Caenorhabditis elegans: one gene and its partners. The protein of the gene in region 2 interacts with the protein of the main gene of each other region in a pairwise test. Each region holds a gene or a part of one and is shown on either strand. Other genes may lie near its edges.

The links. Proteins that work in one complex are often made in the same cells at the same time.
Region 1: the proteins of attf-4 (region 2) and nhr-88 interact in a two-hybrid assay, tested with the Caenorhabditis elegans proteins (one large-scale study listed by BioGRID).
Region 3: the proteins of attf-4 (region 2) and F21A9.2 interact in a two-hybrid assay, tested with the Caenorhabditis elegans proteins (one large-scale study listed by BioGRID).

What each region holds. Positions count from the first base shown.
Region 1 is NC_003280.10:2,976,558-2,981,445, reverse strand, and holds the start of nhr-88 (Nuclear hormone receptor E75), read right to left. Parts: upstream 3,031-4,888; 5' UTR 3,022-3,030; coding exon 2,957-3,021; intron 2,542-2,956; coding exon 2,444-2,541; intron 2,178-2,443; exon of another isoform or gene 2,103-2,177; intron 2,058-2,102; exon of another isoform or gene 2,004-2,057; intron 1,872-2,003; coding exon 1,417-1,871; intron 691-1,416; coding exon of another isoform or gene 601-690; exon of another isoform or gene 516-600; intron 1-515.
Region 2 is NC_003281.10:6,078,587-6,085,260, forward strand, and holds attf-4 (AT hook-containing protein attf-4), read left to right. Parts: upstream 1-1,976; 5' UTR 1,977-1,989; coding exon 1,990-2,088; intron 2,089-3,578; coding exon 3,579-3,683; intron 3,684-4,204; coding exon 4,205-4,637; intron 4,638-4,686; coding exon 4,687-4,896; intron 4,897-5,039; coding exon 5,040-5,624; intron 5,625-5,686; coding exon 5,687-5,844; 3' UTR 5,845-6,162; downstream 6,163-6,674. Other genes in the region: ABC transporter ATP-binding protein/permease wht-1, read right to left, coding at 6,172-6,288, 6,483-6,612, 6,655-6,674.
Region 3 is NC_003279.8:3,705,500-3,711,336, forward strand, and holds F21A9.2 (C2H2-type domain-containing protein), read right to left. Parts: upstream 3,937-5,837; 5' UTR 3,722-3,936; coding exon 3,680-3,721; intron 3,283-3,679; coding exon 3,181-3,282; intron 2,993-3,180; coding exon 2,878-2,992; intron 2,720-2,877; coding exon 2,609-2,719; intron 2,563-2,608; coding exon 2,375-2,562; intron 2,329-2,374; coding exon 2,183-2,328; intron 1,294-2,182; coding exon 1,032-1,293; intron 859-1,031; coding exon 704-858; intron 656-703; coding exon 598-655; 3' UTR 531-597; downstream 1-530. Other genes in the region: F21A9.1 (PRELI/MSF1 domain-containing protein), read left to right, coding at 5,519-5,569, 5,753-5,837.

The DNA.
Region 1 (4,888 bases), on a different chromosome or scaffold from region 2:
TCACTCTTGCTTTTTTAAATTCTCACTTTACTCCAATTCGTTCCCATATTGTTCTTAGCAAATTCCAATCGCTTGAGTTTATGGTCTGCAGAGAGTAACGGAGCAGGGCGAAGTTTCTGACGAACGATTACACCAGATCGTTTGATGACATTGAGGATGGTCCTTTTTGAAGCAGACAATTGAAGCTCATTGCGAATATCTCTTGCCGTCTTACAGGAGTTGGAGGCAGCACGAATCACATTTCGTTCGTCACGCACGGAGAGAGCTTTGCGACGAGGAGCTCTTTTAGATGTACCGTAGCTCACCGGATCCTTCAGATACACGCGAATACAGTGTCGAGAACGGGAAATTTTCCTACTCATTTCATGCAGGGACACATTGAGCAATTTCATAACATCCAGCTGAGCGCGTTCAGTGTCCGAAAGGGCAGATCCTCGAGGCATTGCAAGTTAGACTGCTTTCGAAGTAAGCTTTCCAGCCTCTATATGTGTGCCACAACACATGCCACAATTCCACATTTAATAATTCACGCAAAAAATAGTAAATAACATCTGTGAGGGACAATTTAACTTGAAATATTGGTCCCATGGAACCTTGTAATCAAAGAAAAACGATTTGATTCCTGATAAGCCTTCCATTGTTTCCTGCTGCATATTTTGCCAAATCAGCTTGACTACACAGTCGAAACATCTAAAGTGCGTGCTAGGAATTTTAGTAGGAACTTGTTAAAGAGAGTTTATCAAGTTTTGGCATTACCGAGAGCACCAGGAAGCTTGAAACAGACTTGAACATCAAAGATCGGAAGAATCAGAACCAGTCTGGAGATCCCACGAGAACATTTCGTATTAATTTTTTAAAGTCAAAACTGCTTATCTGAACTCATTTCTAACTCAAACTTGATTTGAGCTTTGTCAAAAATTCCAAAATCTGTTGATTTTAGTAAAAATCGTGAAAAAAAACGGGGGGTCCTATAGAAGTTTCACACTGGATTTTGACGTTTTTTCCAGCGCGACCTCAGTTTTTGAGATAAACTTCTGGAAAAAAATGTATATAGGTTTTTTTCAATTTAAAAACGAATGGCATTAGCAGTTTTTCAAAAAAATTTTCGGAAGTTCCTCAAACCTTCAAATTAGGGGGGGGTCCTATAGAACTTTCCCACACTGTATTTCAAATTTCTAGAAGCAGCCGACATTTGCCTGGTTTCTAGAAACAGCCGACATTCGCCGGGCTTCTAGAAGCAGCCGACATTTGCTTAGTTTCTAGAAGCAGCCGACATTTGCTTAGTTTCTAGAAGCAGCCGACATTTGCCGGGCTTCTAGAAGCAGCCGACATTTCCCTTGTTTCTAGAAACGGCCGACACATCACGGGTTACTGGAAGCTCCCTTCAAGTTTACCTAGGAGCAGCCGACAACTCACCGGAAAGCTCTCCTGATTTCTGACATATTGACTATGGAACAAAGTGGACACATCGAAATCCGGGTCATTCTTCATCATCATTGATATTCCAATAGGCATTGTGATATGATTATTCCCGCAAGTCGCCTGATCTTCAACATCCAATAAAAATGACAAAATAACATCTTCATTATTGGAAACTGGAGAATCGCAGCCATTCGGTGAGGGTAGGGATGCATCGATGCTTCCACTATTCGTGTCGGACTTCATCTTCTTCTTCCGTGGATTCTTCTGCTTGCCGATGACGTCACGATCCGGTCGAATGGCTTCTGGCTCCATGCCAACTGTCAGGCAACGCTGGAACCGGCAGTAACGGCATGCGTTGCGTTGATCCTTGTCGATGGCGCATTTTTGGGTGAATCGGCAGGTGTAGGTCTGTTGGGATCGGATTGTTCGGCGGAAGAAGCCCTTACAACCTGAAATTTTAGAAATTTGAGCGATATCTCAAAAATTGAATCTTGAAAAAGTTGTGTAAACTATTGAAATATTCCAGTCGAAAACATGAATAAGTCATAAATTGCATGATTTTTGATAGCTCAAAGTTTAAGCTCAGGCTTAGGCTTAGGCTTAAGCCTAAGCTTAGGCTCAGGCGTAGGCTTAGGATTTGGCTCAAAGCTAGGATTAGGCTTAGGCTTAGGCTTAGTCTTATGCTTAGGCTTAGGCTTAGGCTTAGGCTCAGGCCTAGGTTTAAGCTTAGGCTTCGGCTTAGGATTAGGCCTAGGGTCATAAACTCAAGACCTTAGGCTTAGGCTTAGGCTCAAAGCTAGGATCAAGCTTAGGCTTAGGCTTAGTCTTATGCTTAGGCTTAGGCTTAGGCTTAGGCTCAGGCCTAGGATTAAGCTTAGGCTTATGCTTAGGTTTAGGCTTAGGGCCATAAACTTCAGACCATAGGGTTAGGCTTAGGCTTAGGATTAGGCTTGGGCTTGGGCTTTGGCTTAGCACCTTAGGCTTAGGCTTAGGCCTAAATTGGAAAAAAAGAAAAACTCACCATAACAAGCCATTACTCCATAGTGTTTTCCAGCCGACCTGTCTCCACACACCATACACTGCCCATCACCATTATCCATTCCTGGCATGACCTGTTGACTGAAATTTTTTTAAAGTTTTTGGGGGTTTTGTATCTCAATTGTAATCTGTGAGTACTGTAGCTAGGTACCATACGGGTACTGTAGTTGGATTAGGGGTACTGTAACTTGACACCATATGGATACTGTAACTCTACTTAGTTCCTTTATGATTACTGTAGCTAGGAACCATTTGTGTACTGTAGCTATGAACTATATGGGTGCTGTACATCAGCCCATATGGTTACTGTAACTACTGTTGCTATGTACAACATGTGTATTGTAGCTATGATCTATTTGGGTACTGTAGCTAGACCCCATAGGGGTACCAAAACTAGACTATAGGTACTGTAGTTAGGTACCATATGGGCACTGTAGTTGATTCAGGGGTACTGTAGGTGATAGACTATGAATACCGTAGGGTACTGTACACTCACCCATCATCCTCGTCTGTTCCAGAACCATGATGTCCATAGGTATAAACCGTCGAAGGAGCAAACATATAGAGATGCTGCAAAAAAAAGAAGATGAGATTTTATATTATATTTTTAGTCGGAGCAATAAGTAAAAAATGAGAAAATAAAAATCTTTGATGCTTTGAAAGGAAGGGAGAAGCGTGACGGATATGAGGGGGAGGGGATAGAAAAAAGAGCAAAATGAGCAGAATATTTTTGAGTAAAACTTGAGAAAAAAAGAGGGAAAACAGCTCTAAAGCCTAAGCCTAAGCCTAAGTCTAAGTCTAAGCTCAAGAATAAGCCTAAGCCTGAGCTTAACCCTAAGCCTAAGCCTCAGCCAAAGCCGATTACTAAACTTTGGTCTATGCCTAAGCCTAAACCTAAGCCTAAGGCTAAATATAAACCTAAGCCTAAGCCTAAGCCTAAGCCTAACCCTAAGCCTGAAACTAGGCCTAGGCCTAAGACAACCACGCAAAGAAAACCAACCGGACAAAACTGAAAAGTAAGTGTCCAATTTTGGCCTGACCCCCAATTTCTCAACAAAATTTCCCGCCAAATCAATTTTTAGGAACCAGTTTTCTCTTTTAAGATGATGTTTTCTGTTTCTTTTCGTTTTTTTTTTTGAGAGAGAGTAACCGGGGAAAGTTTTAGGGGGCAGAAAGGGAGAAAGATTGGAAAAGAAAATTGGGGAAATTTCGTTCGACCGGTTTTCTGAATTTTCTGGTAGAAGTTGGATGGGGGAATTTTGTGGGAATTTTTCGGGGGAAATTGAAAATTTTCAGATATTTTAGAGTAATTTTGAAAATTGTCGGACTGTAGGAATTTTTCCGAATTTTTAGAGCTTTTTCCAAAAAAATTTTCAGACTTTTTTTTGAAATTTTTTAAATGGAAATTGACACCAAAAATTGCTCTTCGGCTAAAGACACTTAGATATCCTAATTTTTAAAGGTACATAAACTATCACTTTTAAAATTGCGGAAAAAAAAGTTTTTTTTCGAAAAAAAACAACTATCTGAACAAACAAAAAGTTCTAGATTTTCCGTCGATCTCAAATTACCAACGTTTTTTTTCTTTTTTTCTCGTCATGAATTCTCAAACTAGAAACAACTTTGTTCTGTTTTGAAAAAAATTAGAAAATTGGTAATTTTTAATCTCAAAAATTTGAAAAAAAAATCGGGAAAAATTAAAAAATAATTTTTTAAATAGATTTTTACAGGAAATGTATGGTTTTTTTTGAAAATTATAGATATTTTAGAAACATATAAAGTTTAAAGAGAAATCAAAAAAAACCTCCCAAAAATTAGGAAAGTTTTTGAAAAAAAAACAATTTTTGGCAATTTTTTTTCAAAAAATCGAACAATTCCAAAACTTCCCCAAAATCAAAATTTTCCAAATTTTCCAAATTCCATACTAAAATCATGCTCAGGGATCCATAAAATGTTGCATTTTCTTTTCCTGTCTCCCCCAAAAAAATGTGGAGGTGAGCTCTCTTTTTCTCCGGAGAGCCAGCGGAGAGGAAATTTTTTTCTCTCCATTTTTTTCTAGCGTCTCGTGCGTGTTTGTGTGTATGTATGTGTATGTTTAGAACGGAAACATGCATTACATTTCGAAACCTTCTCCCTTTTAGTGCTCGAGCCCCCAGAAGCTGAGAAGGGGGGCAAAAAGGTGGAAAGAATTTGTGGAGAAAAGGAGAAAAAGGAGAAAAATGTGAAGGGAAAAAAAGAAGAAAAAAACGGAGAAAAGTAACAAACTTGTGTGGTGGTGGTGGCAGAAAATGAGGGCGACACGACGAGGACAGCGTGGCGTGTGGAGGGAGAAAAGTGGGCGGAGCCTCTGGAAGGTTAAGCTCATTTTGTAGAGAAAATTACAATGAGAAGATGACCTAATTTTTAAGAAAATCTGATAAAAAATGAA
Region 2 (6,674 bases):
CGATATTTTTTCTTATGTAGGCCAGGATCAGAGCATCCTTTTTTGCTACATGATATAAAAACCTAAACTTCGGGAACTAATTAATTTTTTTCAGCAAACCTTATCTACAGTTTTCTGGATGCAAGATCTTTATTTTTAAAAGAGCTGCCGAGTTCTAGTATTTCTAGACCACTACGTGTGGCAACATTCTTTCTCTTCCTATTTTTAGCTCTATATACCCCGGTTGACTTGATAGGCGAATTTAATTGAGAATTATAAATTTTCCATTTTCCAAAAAGTAAAATTCCAAATTCAAATGTTCTTTCTCCCACTCCAATATTGTAACATACAATAAAATTTAATCCTATCTCTCTTTCCTCTGTGCTTTCCATAACCTCTCTTCCATTTTGCCCGTTGGTGGCAGGCGATGGGCGGGTTTGACATCGTCCTTTAAGAATAATAAAATGTGTCATTTGGTGCCCTCTTTATCTCTATTTCTCTATTCCTCTCTAACTCTCGTTTACAAAACGCCACCTGCTCTCTCTTTCTCTTCATTTGACCCCTCTACTCCCAACACCCAAACAGACACCATCCTTTGTTCCGTTTTTTTTGGTTTTTTGATGGTGGACAGTGGTGATGGACATTTCGTTTTACTCCATGTTTTATTTTATTCTAATGTGCTATGTGTGCAACCAACATCTGCCTTCCACCGGTATAATGAGATTTTGACTAGGGAAGGGTCAACTCATGGTCACGTTGGCGACTCTTTTGGGACTTTTGAGTGAACATTTCTAAATTGTAGATTTTTCGCTATGGCCAGTTGTCAACCCTAAAAATTGGGATTTTCATGGTTTTTAAGGTACTGTTTTTTTCATGCAATATTTCAAATTCAATTATCTACAAACAAAAATATTTTCTGGAAAATATTCAACTGAAAAGCCAGCTGATATTTTCCAGCATTTTGTCAGTTGATAACTTTTTTCTAGCATCACAAAGTTATGATAATTTAAAGACTCTCCACACTTCCAACAGAGGTAGCAAAGAAACGAAAAGCTCTCGCTCAATAGGGTGCTGAGAAGCTAGACTCTGCACTCTCTTTGCAATTCCAGTTAGGAAATTTATAACTAACTAAAAATTGGCAAAAAATATTTTAATATTCTGAATTTATAACGAACTTTTGGCTTCTGGGGTAGTCACTTTGAAAGCTACATTTTGACGCGCCTTTTTTAAACGCCTTTTCGAAAATTTTATTTCAAAATTCGTTTAGTCTTCAGAATACAATATGATTCTGACATTTTTGGCAGAAAATTACATTTTTCACACTCCGTGGGAGGTCTATAAATTCGTTTTATGTTAATCGTGGCCAGTTAAAATTTTCAGCGCGTGCGCCTTGAAACTTTATTTTTCAAAAAAAAAACTTTTCCCCCCGATTACGCCTTCCCCAATTCTCGCCTATTTTGTTACACAAATTTAATTAAAATTTTTTCTAAAATTTTCATTATTTTCTCTTTCCCTCTCTCTTTTTCTGCAAAACCCACCTAGAAAACAATTTATGTGAAATTAAATTGTTATTTACTGCGCAACCGGAAAAATAAAATAAAATTTAAAAATTTGTAAAATGCGAAATCAGCAATTCAAGTATCTCTCTCCCTCTCTTTCTGGTGTCCTCGTCATCCACTACCAGCCACAAAAATAAAAAAAGAATTTCGCATTTTTTATGTGATTCAGAGAAGTGTCTCCCGTATTCGAGTACTATTTTCGAGTTTTGCAATACATCTTATCAAAAATATATGTTTTGGGGTGAAACGGGAAAATAGAAAGAGAGGGACAAGTGAGAGAGCAGAATTTAATATTTTTGATGACTTTTTCAAACAAATTTTTTTTGTTGAAAACTTTTTCCCTCACTTTTTCACATTTCTTATCATTCTTCTTCGCTTTCTCGAAATTTAATTTCATTTTTTAAACGCATTATCAATATGTTATACTTAATATTTCAGATCAACTCAGATGATGCTCCAACCGCCAACTTTAACGCCGAATGCGAATGGTGAAGAGTTCAGAGGATCCGTCAGTACAGATCGTAGTTCAGCTTCTCCTTCCAACATTGACGTGAGTTTGGATTTTCATCGTTTTGATGTGAAAAAAGAACACTATAAAAAATTACAAGACATATAAAAAAATTTTACTGTATGTCTTTTTTCAAACTTGTTCCCATGTCTTACATATTTAAAAACTATACATTAAGCTTGGAGAGAGGTTCAAAATTTTTGAATGTCTGAAAACCTACATGGGCGACCTCTAAAATTTCTAGACTTTAACAACAAAAAAATTGTGTTCTAAAAAAATTTCGCAGTTTCAAAGATGTAACGCAAATACATATATTACACATTTCTCAATCTTTTCTCTTGTTTTCGCACTCGTTTTGCCCGCCTCCCTCATTCATTTTCACAATTTCTCTCTCGTTTATTTTTTGCCTCAAACATCTCAAGATGATTTTTTATTTATTTCGAAGAAACTCGCAATTTCATTTTTTTCAACATTTTTGCCTCGCTCGTTAAATGTAAGAGAAATAGACATATTTTTCGATATGTATTGAAAAAATTGAGGTGAGAGTGAGAGCGATGAAAATGTGCTAATTCAGAAGGCAAACAACTTTTTTTTTCGATATAAAATTTATGAAACATTTTTTTTCGTTTTCCATATTTAGAAGTGCTTTTGGAAAAGGTTTAGTTTTGCCTTTATGCTCACTTTGAAATAAAATTTGCCGCTGTGGGACTCTGTGGGACTCGGAACCACACATATTTTGTTTTCCCGCTCTTTCTCTCCCTTTTTTCTGTTTAACAAAACCTTTTCAAAATAAAAAAAAGAGCACAATTTTCTTTTGGTTTTTTTTTGCGTTGTCCCCACAAGAATTTTATTATTTTATTATCTACACATTACACGATAGAAAATAAAACGTAGCGAAAATATTATCAGTTATCGGAATCGTTAAAATTATTGAAAAATTATAGATGAAAAAAATTCTTCTTCTTTTTCTTTGATAATGATAGGAATTAACAGAAAATTTCAATTTAATGATGATTGTTAGATGCTCGCGGAGCACACGACAATTCCGTAAAAGTGCGCGAACAAACAAACAGACTGTTTTTTTTGTTGAAAAAGCGAACTTTTCCTCCTCCCCTTCTTTCAATTTGTGCTCTCAAATCATTCATTTTTCCTACAAACATAAAAAACCCAATTTCTTTCGATTTTCCGTATTTTTTATGGCGCTCTTCTAAAACCGCACTATTTCTTTTCCATTTTTTTTCAATCAAATATTTATATATTTTTTTATTTATTTTGAGAAGGAAAACGGACAGGGGGGAAGGCGAGGTGGTGGTTGAGCCAGCAGCCCGCTCCCTCTCCTGTCACAGCAGCACCCAGCCACCACATACATACAACCCTCAATTTGAGTGAATTTGTGACCAATTTTCTAAATTTATTTGGTATTTGTTAGGTTGCTGCACGAATTGCTCGAATATAAATATATCTGATACATGAGTTTTTGCAATTCTTATTGATCAAGCTTAAGCTCTTCTCTAATTCTGAAATATTTGTAGGAGATCATGGAAGACGATGTGAATCAGAAGGACGAGGATGAAGATCTGAACTTAGTGGATCGTGTCAGCAAGCTCGAGACAAATTTTGTATTCATTCAGCATCAGGTGAGTGAAAAACTATTAATAAATTATTTTATTTTCTAAATCGAGAATGAAAGAAGTAGAAAAATATATTTGCACAACAATTTCGACAAGTGCAATGTGTAATGCAACAAGTCATAGGTGTCTAGTATTTATTTTGAAAATTTCCAAAAAAAAACTCGACTAGACACAACAATAGGCTTACCGTCCGTCACACATACTATTTTTTTCGATTTTTCACCCGTGGAATTCATTTTCATTTTCATTCACAAAGTTTACATTTGACCATCTCTCTTTCCCTCTGTCGCCCTGTCTCGGGGCTCACGCATCGTATACATACCGGACAGAGGAAGCAGATTGAAGAAGAAGAAGTGAAGACAGCGATCGTCAAATAGTGTGTTTTGTGGGAGGAAATAGTAGAATGATCCAAAAATAAATTAAATGTCAACATTTATTGACGCGGAAAAATGGAAAAAAAATATAATTTTATCGTGGTGTTATGAAATTTAAAATATACATGGACCCATTGAACTGTATGTTTCCAGCTATCCTCTATCATGAACCATCTTCATGCTCCACAATGCAAGTGTACAACATGCTCCAAAGTCAACCAACCTGGAGCTGAAGAGCAGAAGAATGATACATCAGTGCTCTCGCAGCTATTCCCTAATGCTTCTGATCAGCAACTCAAGACTCTCCTCGATCTCTCGAAAATGAACAAGTTGCCATCACAAGTTGTTCACAAGGATCAACAGAACGGATCATCTTTTCTACCATCAGCAAATAAGACCTCTGAAAATCCAAAACCTATTGAACTGAAGCCTCTGAAGCTTGGACAAGGCTATCAGATGGCGAATGGTGGAGGTGGAGGCAAGATTCATACCGAAAGACTCTCAGAACCAGCGAGAAAGCAGAGCCGGAAAGTTGGATTCCCACCACCAGTTGCTTCATATTATCAGAGAAAGGAGAGCTCGAATCGTAAGTTCACTATACAACCACAGCGCAATCTAGAAACTCTAATTTTCAGCTTTGGTCCCGCCAACTCCATTGTCGTCCATCCCAAATCTGATTACAAATTCCAATGCAGTATCAGCCAACACTTCAACAGCTTCACCAGGACCCTCCTCGGAAGGAAGTGGTGATGATCATCTTGAGGCTCCAAATGAGGTGGCTCACATGCATTCTAGTACCGTACCAGCTACACCAACAACTCCAGGAGCCAACTTGTTCACTCAATGTAAGTAGATCCGCATGTTTTTTCTTAAATTTTTGCCAATTTCAATTATGCTAAAGGGAAGGAAATCTAACTTTAAGTAATTAGAGCAGTACTTGAATTATATTTTTTATCAATGCAAAACAAATTAATTTTTAATTTTTCAGCTATGGTCGATATGCTCAAACTGAATGCACAAAACGCTGCTCACTCGACAGGTTCTCCTGGATTCTTACGTGGACGTGGTCGCGGACGTCCAAAGCTTATCGGAGATGAACTTGATGCTGATCTCGTTGACTACATGGTTTCCCTGAAGAACTCAGATCCACATGGTGGCCACTTCACCGCATCTCAGGCCCTGCATATGGCTCGTCAATACATACTCGAAAGAGCTCCAGGCCTTCTCGAAGAGCATGGAGGTCATGTAAAGCTGAAGCTCACCTGGGCGATGAAGTTGGTGTCGAGAATTGGGGAACGACAGCGGGAAATCGAGCTAGGACTTCCAGCCGGAACACTGTCGAATATGGGACGAAACTTGACAAATATACCGGCTGGTGGCAATTTTATGGCTGATATGATGGCTCAGAACATCTTTTCGCAGCATATGATGATGGTGAATCAACAATTGGAAGGTGGATCTCCACCAGCATCTTCTTCATCAACTGCCACGACATCGACAGCCACGAAGACAGTGAAGCAAGAGTCGAAAAATGGACATCAGAATGAGGAAAATTTAAATGTGAAACAAGAAGGTGAGTTGTCACGGGTTCTAGTCCAACTTCACTTGAACCTTCTCTAAAATTATAATTTTCAGCCTCCACGATGCCCGAAATAATAAATATCAAAGAGCTCAATCTTCCATTCCTCAACAACTTCCTTGCCGAACTAAACGACAACAACTCGGGACTGATTGACGGTGAAATTGGTGCAGCAGGTCCATCCATGGCTGCTCTTTTTGCTCCGAACGCATAATTTTTAAAAACATTTTTTTGTTTTATTTTCTTGTTGTAACATTTTACTACTGAACCTCCATTCATCTCAAAACAGACCACCCGATTTTATGGGTATTTTTCGATATATTCTTATTGTCAATTACTTCTACTTTTTCCCTGTCATCACCTCTTCCTATATGTATCATTTTCTACACATAGGCATCACTTTCAACATGTTTTATACTTGCTTTTTTTTTTGATTTTCCAATTTTCCAATTTTCCGGCATCAACATTCACAAAACAAAATATGTTAACAAAATTCAAATTAACAGTATTCAAATAAATTATACAATCAAATATTTCCTTTTCAAGTATTATTATAGGAACGGATGAGAAGTGCCACGTAGGCAATTATGCGAATTCCGATGAACATTCCAAACAGAATTGAAATATCAAAAATTTTATGCGAAGCCGAGAAATCGATCTGTAATTTTAAACCATAAAAGCTTGAACAATGAAAGTTCCACCTCGTTGTGAAAAACTTCTTTTGAGCATTATTCGATGTTCAGAAAATAAACACCAAAAAGTCTACGATTTAGTTTGGTTAAGTAATCCAACACTGAGAAACAGATTTTTTAAATGTTCCTAAATTAATTTCTAATAATCCAAAACACTAACCGATTCCAAAACTTGATGCCCATTTTTTGGGCAGCTATCCAACGCAAACGCAGTCATTGAACTATTGAAACACTCCGGAATCACTTTGATCGAATCCCATTCATTGATCGCGAGAGCTTCATAACCGTATCTAAAAGATTTGTTATTATATAACACAAATCATCATGTTTACTTGAAATAAGAGAGCGAAGA
Region 3 (5,837 bases), on a different chromosome or scaffold from region 2:
AAAAATATTGCTATTTAATATTTTCATATTAGATTTGAGTTGCCTGAGAATTGGAGTTTTAAAAAATCGAAAACGAGGTGCAAACGCGTTTCAACACCAAATGAAAACGATCCGCCCCCAAACGTTGGGTCTCATTGGGTATTGGCGGCAAAACCAGAAATTCAAACGTTTTCGAACATTATTCAACTGTTTTGTTCTTTTTCGTGATTTTTATGTGGTATAAAAATATAAAAATATAAAAAAAAACGTATCTGAAATTGAAAAATGAATACGCTCGTTTGATTCGGTTTTATATGTTCTTTTTGACATTAAAAAATAATTTTTTAAAAACAGAAAAAATTACAAAAAAGGTCTAAAAACTCTTGAAACCGGCGAAATCAGCGAAAATAATTTGAATTTCTGGTTTCCGGCCGCCAATTCCTAACGAGACCCGTCGTTTAGGGCGGAGCTTTTCACTTGACTATGAGGCGCGCTATTTTCTGCTGCCCAATAATATCTTTGAAAGTATGTTTCAAATTGGCAACAAAACAATTATTAAAACCCGTTTATTGAGCTGAAAATAAATTGTCTAATTTCTTAAAATATATTTTTATCCATTCATGTTTCATCGGGCTCATTGGCTTTGAATTTCAAAGCTTCATCGTCAGAATGAGATCTGAAACACATCGATTTACTTGATTATTACTTATAAGTTCCCCCAAACCTCATATGCGTACGAATCCCTCGCATACTGAATGCTCGGTAGCCGCACACCAAACATGTGAATGTCTTCGTTGTCTGATGCGATGATCGAATGTGCATAGATAGCTGCGAGGACGATGTCGGCACAAAATCGCATTTTGTACACTTCTCCGGTACCTACAAATCTCCTTTTTTTTCTTTCTTTTTTCGTTCTCAACTCAAGCTTGTGCACAAGCTCTCTTTCACTGGCTCGCCATAATTCAAGATTGCAATCAGAAAGAGGCTCGGAGAGATCACGAAAACTGATAAACTGGGAAATGAAGAAACTGAGAAATAAAAGTGTATCTCACCTTTCTCAAAGAATCATTTCTGTGTGGTCCACCACCTGGAGATGATACACGAGTTGTGTGGCTACAGTACAGTTGCTTATGCGCGTCATACGTGGTCTGAGACGAAAACGAGACTCCACAAGTGCACGAGAATGGTCTTTCCGGGTAGATTGGCTCACTGCTCGAGCTTTTTGAAGTTGGAGAACAACTGGCTGAGAGTGATGGAACACTTGGTGCATGGGGTGATGAGGATAAATCCAGAGGAGTTGAAGTTCTTACATTCCTGAATAGAAAAATAAAATAAAAAAGATTTTCATTTATTACGAGAACACGAAATTCTGAAAATGCGTATTACGCAACATATTTGACGCGCAAAATATCAAAACTACAGTAGTTCTTTAAATGACTATTGTAGCGCTTGTGTCGATTTACGGGATCGTTTTTCGAAATGAATTATTTATCAATAGAATATTAAAAATTAGAAACGAATGGAATATCACTGCCGCTTTTCAAAAATATATGCGAACAAGCCCATAAATAGGCACAAGCGCTACAGTAGTCAATTAAAGTAGTTTTCGCTTCGAGATATTTTCGCGTCAAATTTGTCGCACATTTGTCGCATTCTGAGTTTTGTATTCCCGTTATATAAAGGTTAAAAATGTTCCTTTTGAAATCAAGGTCCGCCCCTAAACGTTGGGTCTCGATAGGTATCGGCGCCAAAACTATCAATTTAAATTATTATGTTTTGTCGCCTGTCGTTTTAATTATTTTTAATTTCAAAAATGATGATATAAAAATGCATTCTTCAAACATCATTTTGACATGAATACATATCATGAAAAACAGCAAAAAAGTCGAAAAATGGTTGAAAACGTTTGGATTTTGCCGTCAATTCCTACCAGGACCACATGGAGTCAGAAAGTCCCATTTCGCTTTGATCTTCAAAAAATGGCGGGAGGAGAGACGCAGACATCTCATCTGATTTTGCATGATTAAGAGCATGCTGACGTCACATTTTTTCCGGAAAAAAATTCCCGCATTTTTTGTAGATCAAAGTGCAATGAGACTGTTTGACACCACGTGCAGGACCCCACATTTCGGGGCGGAGCGTTTTTAATTATCTGTGGAGCGCGCTTGCATAATAAGACTGTGTTGCAAAAGAAAAAACCAACTTCTCATCCAAATTGATAATAGGAATCTGCACGGAGAGTTTCGAAGTTGAAAAGTTTGGCATTTCCAATTTTCTCTTGTTATGAATGAGCAAAGGATTTGAGTTGATTAATGCCGAATTTCGTCCAATAGTAACAGGACCCACTACCTAAAAGTTCAATTGAAATTAACAACTAGCTTTCAAACTGAGTTACCTGAAAGGGATTCTGCTGAAAGAGGTCATGAAACGCCATTGGCAACAAAATAACATTTTGTTGTTTTCGAGAATCCGCATTTTCAACTACATTTCCGAGTTTCTTCTTACTACAGTACAAATCTTCATGAACTTTCAAATTGTGAAGGGAGTTGAATTTTGCCACGTGACAGTGTGGACATTCGTGTTCTGAAATTTCGAAATGCAGTTCTTTTCGAAAAGCAAAAAAGCTCACTTTTCTCCAACTTTTCTTGCTCCAGACGATAGTTCATATCAGCGACAAGAATGGCTCGAAGTGGCTCCACGGTCGTCAGATTTTTTGTGAAAAGAATTGTGAACACGGGACCTGAAACATTGGCCTAGGTGAAGTTGAAATTTCAAAAAAGTCGTTTGGTGGACTAATTAGTGAAAGCTAGGCAGGACATGAATTGTCTTTGAGTGCAAAAATATCCGTTTGGGTGGCCTAGTTTTCAATTTCTAGGCCATGTCGTGTGGCTCGCATACCTGTCTGCATAATGACACAATTAGCTAGAAGTGGACCTTGGGCTGCTTGAATTCTCCGCGTCACTGGATTCGATTCCATCTCGAAACCCATCGATTCACCGGTGAAGTTGGAGAGCTGGAAATTAAGGAGGTTCTACGGTGCATTTGTGCGGGGAATATGGTGTATTGTGTCTGTCGAATCAGAAGAATTCAATGCGCCAAAAGTTACGCGCAAATTTGAGAACCCACCGGTAGTCAGAATCCAGTTTTGATCTACAGATATTGCGCCAACTTCTATAACTTACAGTATATGCTTTAACTTACAGTAATCCTCAACAGTTGTCCATTGCCGCTCACAGAATACGGTCCAACACAATCGCCACATCTAAACTCGATTGGTGCGGTCATAACTTGTTTTCGTATTGACTGCAAACTTTTGATGATAATTCAGTCCTCAATATTCAACAAAAAAAGTTTTACGCGATGTGTAAATTTAATTTTCTAATTTTTTTTGCGTTATTTTTGTAATTTTGAATTTATATTTATCATCATTTCCCTATTCATTAATCAATATTTTTGTTTGTCAAATGTAGCGTTTTGGGTCTCGCAACGCTTAATTCTTTTGAGTTTACTGTACTGTAATTTCACCTTTCATAAGAAAACCGATAATAAAAATAAGAACAAATCAAATTTCAACAAGTTGTCAGAAAAAGGTGCAAGATAACATTACTTATTAGAAGAGCACACCTTTTTGCATTTCACAAAAATTTGTAGTGTCGAGACCGGGTTTGAAGCAAAAATCAAAAAATCTACTGTAACTCACGCTAGCTATTGTATTATGCAGAATCGATTGGTTTACATCCATTGTATATAAATGAAGTGGCCGAATGAGAAAACGAAAGAAGAGGCTTCCGACGAAGAAAGATGGGCTCGAGTGAGCGATAAGATCTCAGGGACAACGCGGGGCGCAGAGCAAGTTGTGCGTGCTCCGGCACTCCGAGTCACACAGATTTTGATGATAAGGTGAAGAAGAAGAAGACAAAAGGAAGATTGGGAAGAGCAGATGAAGTGACTGAACAACTGAAATAGATTGAATCTCCGGTTGGAATGAATATTAGATTAGTAGAGATTTGAGAGGAAAAGTTGAGTAGTGAACATTGCGCGTGAAATGTGATGCATTGAGTTGGCAGGTGCTTTAAGAGCAAAATATGAAATTTTAATAGAGAAAATCTAATGTTTTAAACTTCTGAATATTGCTTTGTTTTTGAAATTAATTATTTATGAGAATCTCCAAAGTACTGTCAGATTGAAGCCTTTTACCTTAGTGCATAATTTGAGCTACGGTAATTATTTTTTTGCGTATTAAATGTGCTTACACTTCAACAGTTTAAAGGTACATAGATGTTTCTAGAATATTTTCATAGATGGCTGATTCAAAATTAAAAGCTCTATATAGTAAAGTAATATTATAACATTGACTTTTGCCTACCGAATATCTCAATTATCGCCGTCTTCCTTACTGATCATTATCTACCCCAATTTTTATCTTTAATCAGTTACCACAATCTCTTATCATCTGTGATTCAGTTTAACTATACATGTAGGGATGTTCCCAGTTGTCGACTGTAGACATTTCACTAGGTTGAGGCGTGACGGGGGCGCCTCTCTCTCTCTCTCTCTCTCTCTCTCTCTCTCTCTCTCTCTTCGCCCTTCTCGCGCCCTATCCGTGCAATTCACTTATATACACGCTATAGCTATACAGCGAACTTTATTTTCTTCTTCTACGGTTTCAAAGGCGCACGTATTTATGCGAAATGGTCTCACCACGCGTTACTCATTAATGTTTTTTTTTTTCAATCAATGGGTTGCGCGTAGCGAGGCCATTCCGCTTAAATACGCGTTTATTTTTTTATCAATATAATATCAATTGGAATTATTTTAAATGAAAGAGAAAAAACCCCAAAGCAGAGTTCAAAAGATGTTCGTGCACGATCGTGTAGCAGCAAATCGGCGGCCGAGTTTTTTCTTTCATTTCCGCGGCCGCACAATAATCATGACGGTTTTACTGCATGACCAAGAGAGAGAGAGAGAGAGAGAGAGAGAGAGAAAATCTCGGCCATCAAGGTTTTCATGCAAAATTCAAGTTATCGACAGTTTCCGAAACGCAAAAACATGTGCCAATTTTTTCTCAGAAAAAAACTCACGAAAAATCAGGATAGTGCATACTATAAAAAATAAAATACTGAAAGTATGTATTCTCACAGTTCTCTCTAAAAGCCGCCACGTGGCAATGTCAAAAATTCAAAAGTGCCACCGGTTTTTTTCGAATTAAAACTCAAAAAAGTGATAAAAATGTATTATTACTGATGAAAATGTGAGGAAGAGGAAAAAGAAAGTGAGCCTGTGTGATATTATCATATCAGTTGAATTGAATCAGTGGAGTATGTGCTGATAGGGTTTCTTATCAGTTTCAACTAAAAAAACTAAACGACACCGATTGATTGCAAAACATCAGCTGATTGCAGATGTATGACGTGGCAGGAGGCACTGAAAAGCAAAAAAAGGTTCAGGAAATGTAGGAAAAAGGAAAAGCGGTGATAAAACTATAAAATATGAGGTAACCGGAAACGGGACAGAAGGATTGTTCAGAGAGGGTTCTACAATGCATCTTTTCACCGAATTCCTACTATTTTTTGGGTTTTTCTTAAAAATCGTAAGTTAGGAAAGATTCTGTGTTAATTTTTTTCTTGTTAATCTTAAGGTAGATCCAGAAAAACTGGACAACATTTTTTTGGTGTTCATTACAGTACCCAAGAGCATTTTTTATTCCTCATAATCAGAAAGACACTTTGAATTTTTTTAAAAATGAACTCCAAAAAATATAGAAACCTTCCAGGAATCAGCACTAGAAAGCAGTTTTCCACTAAAAGTCCTTCCGTTGAAATTCGGGGAAAATCCAAAAAATCATGAAAGAGTGTACT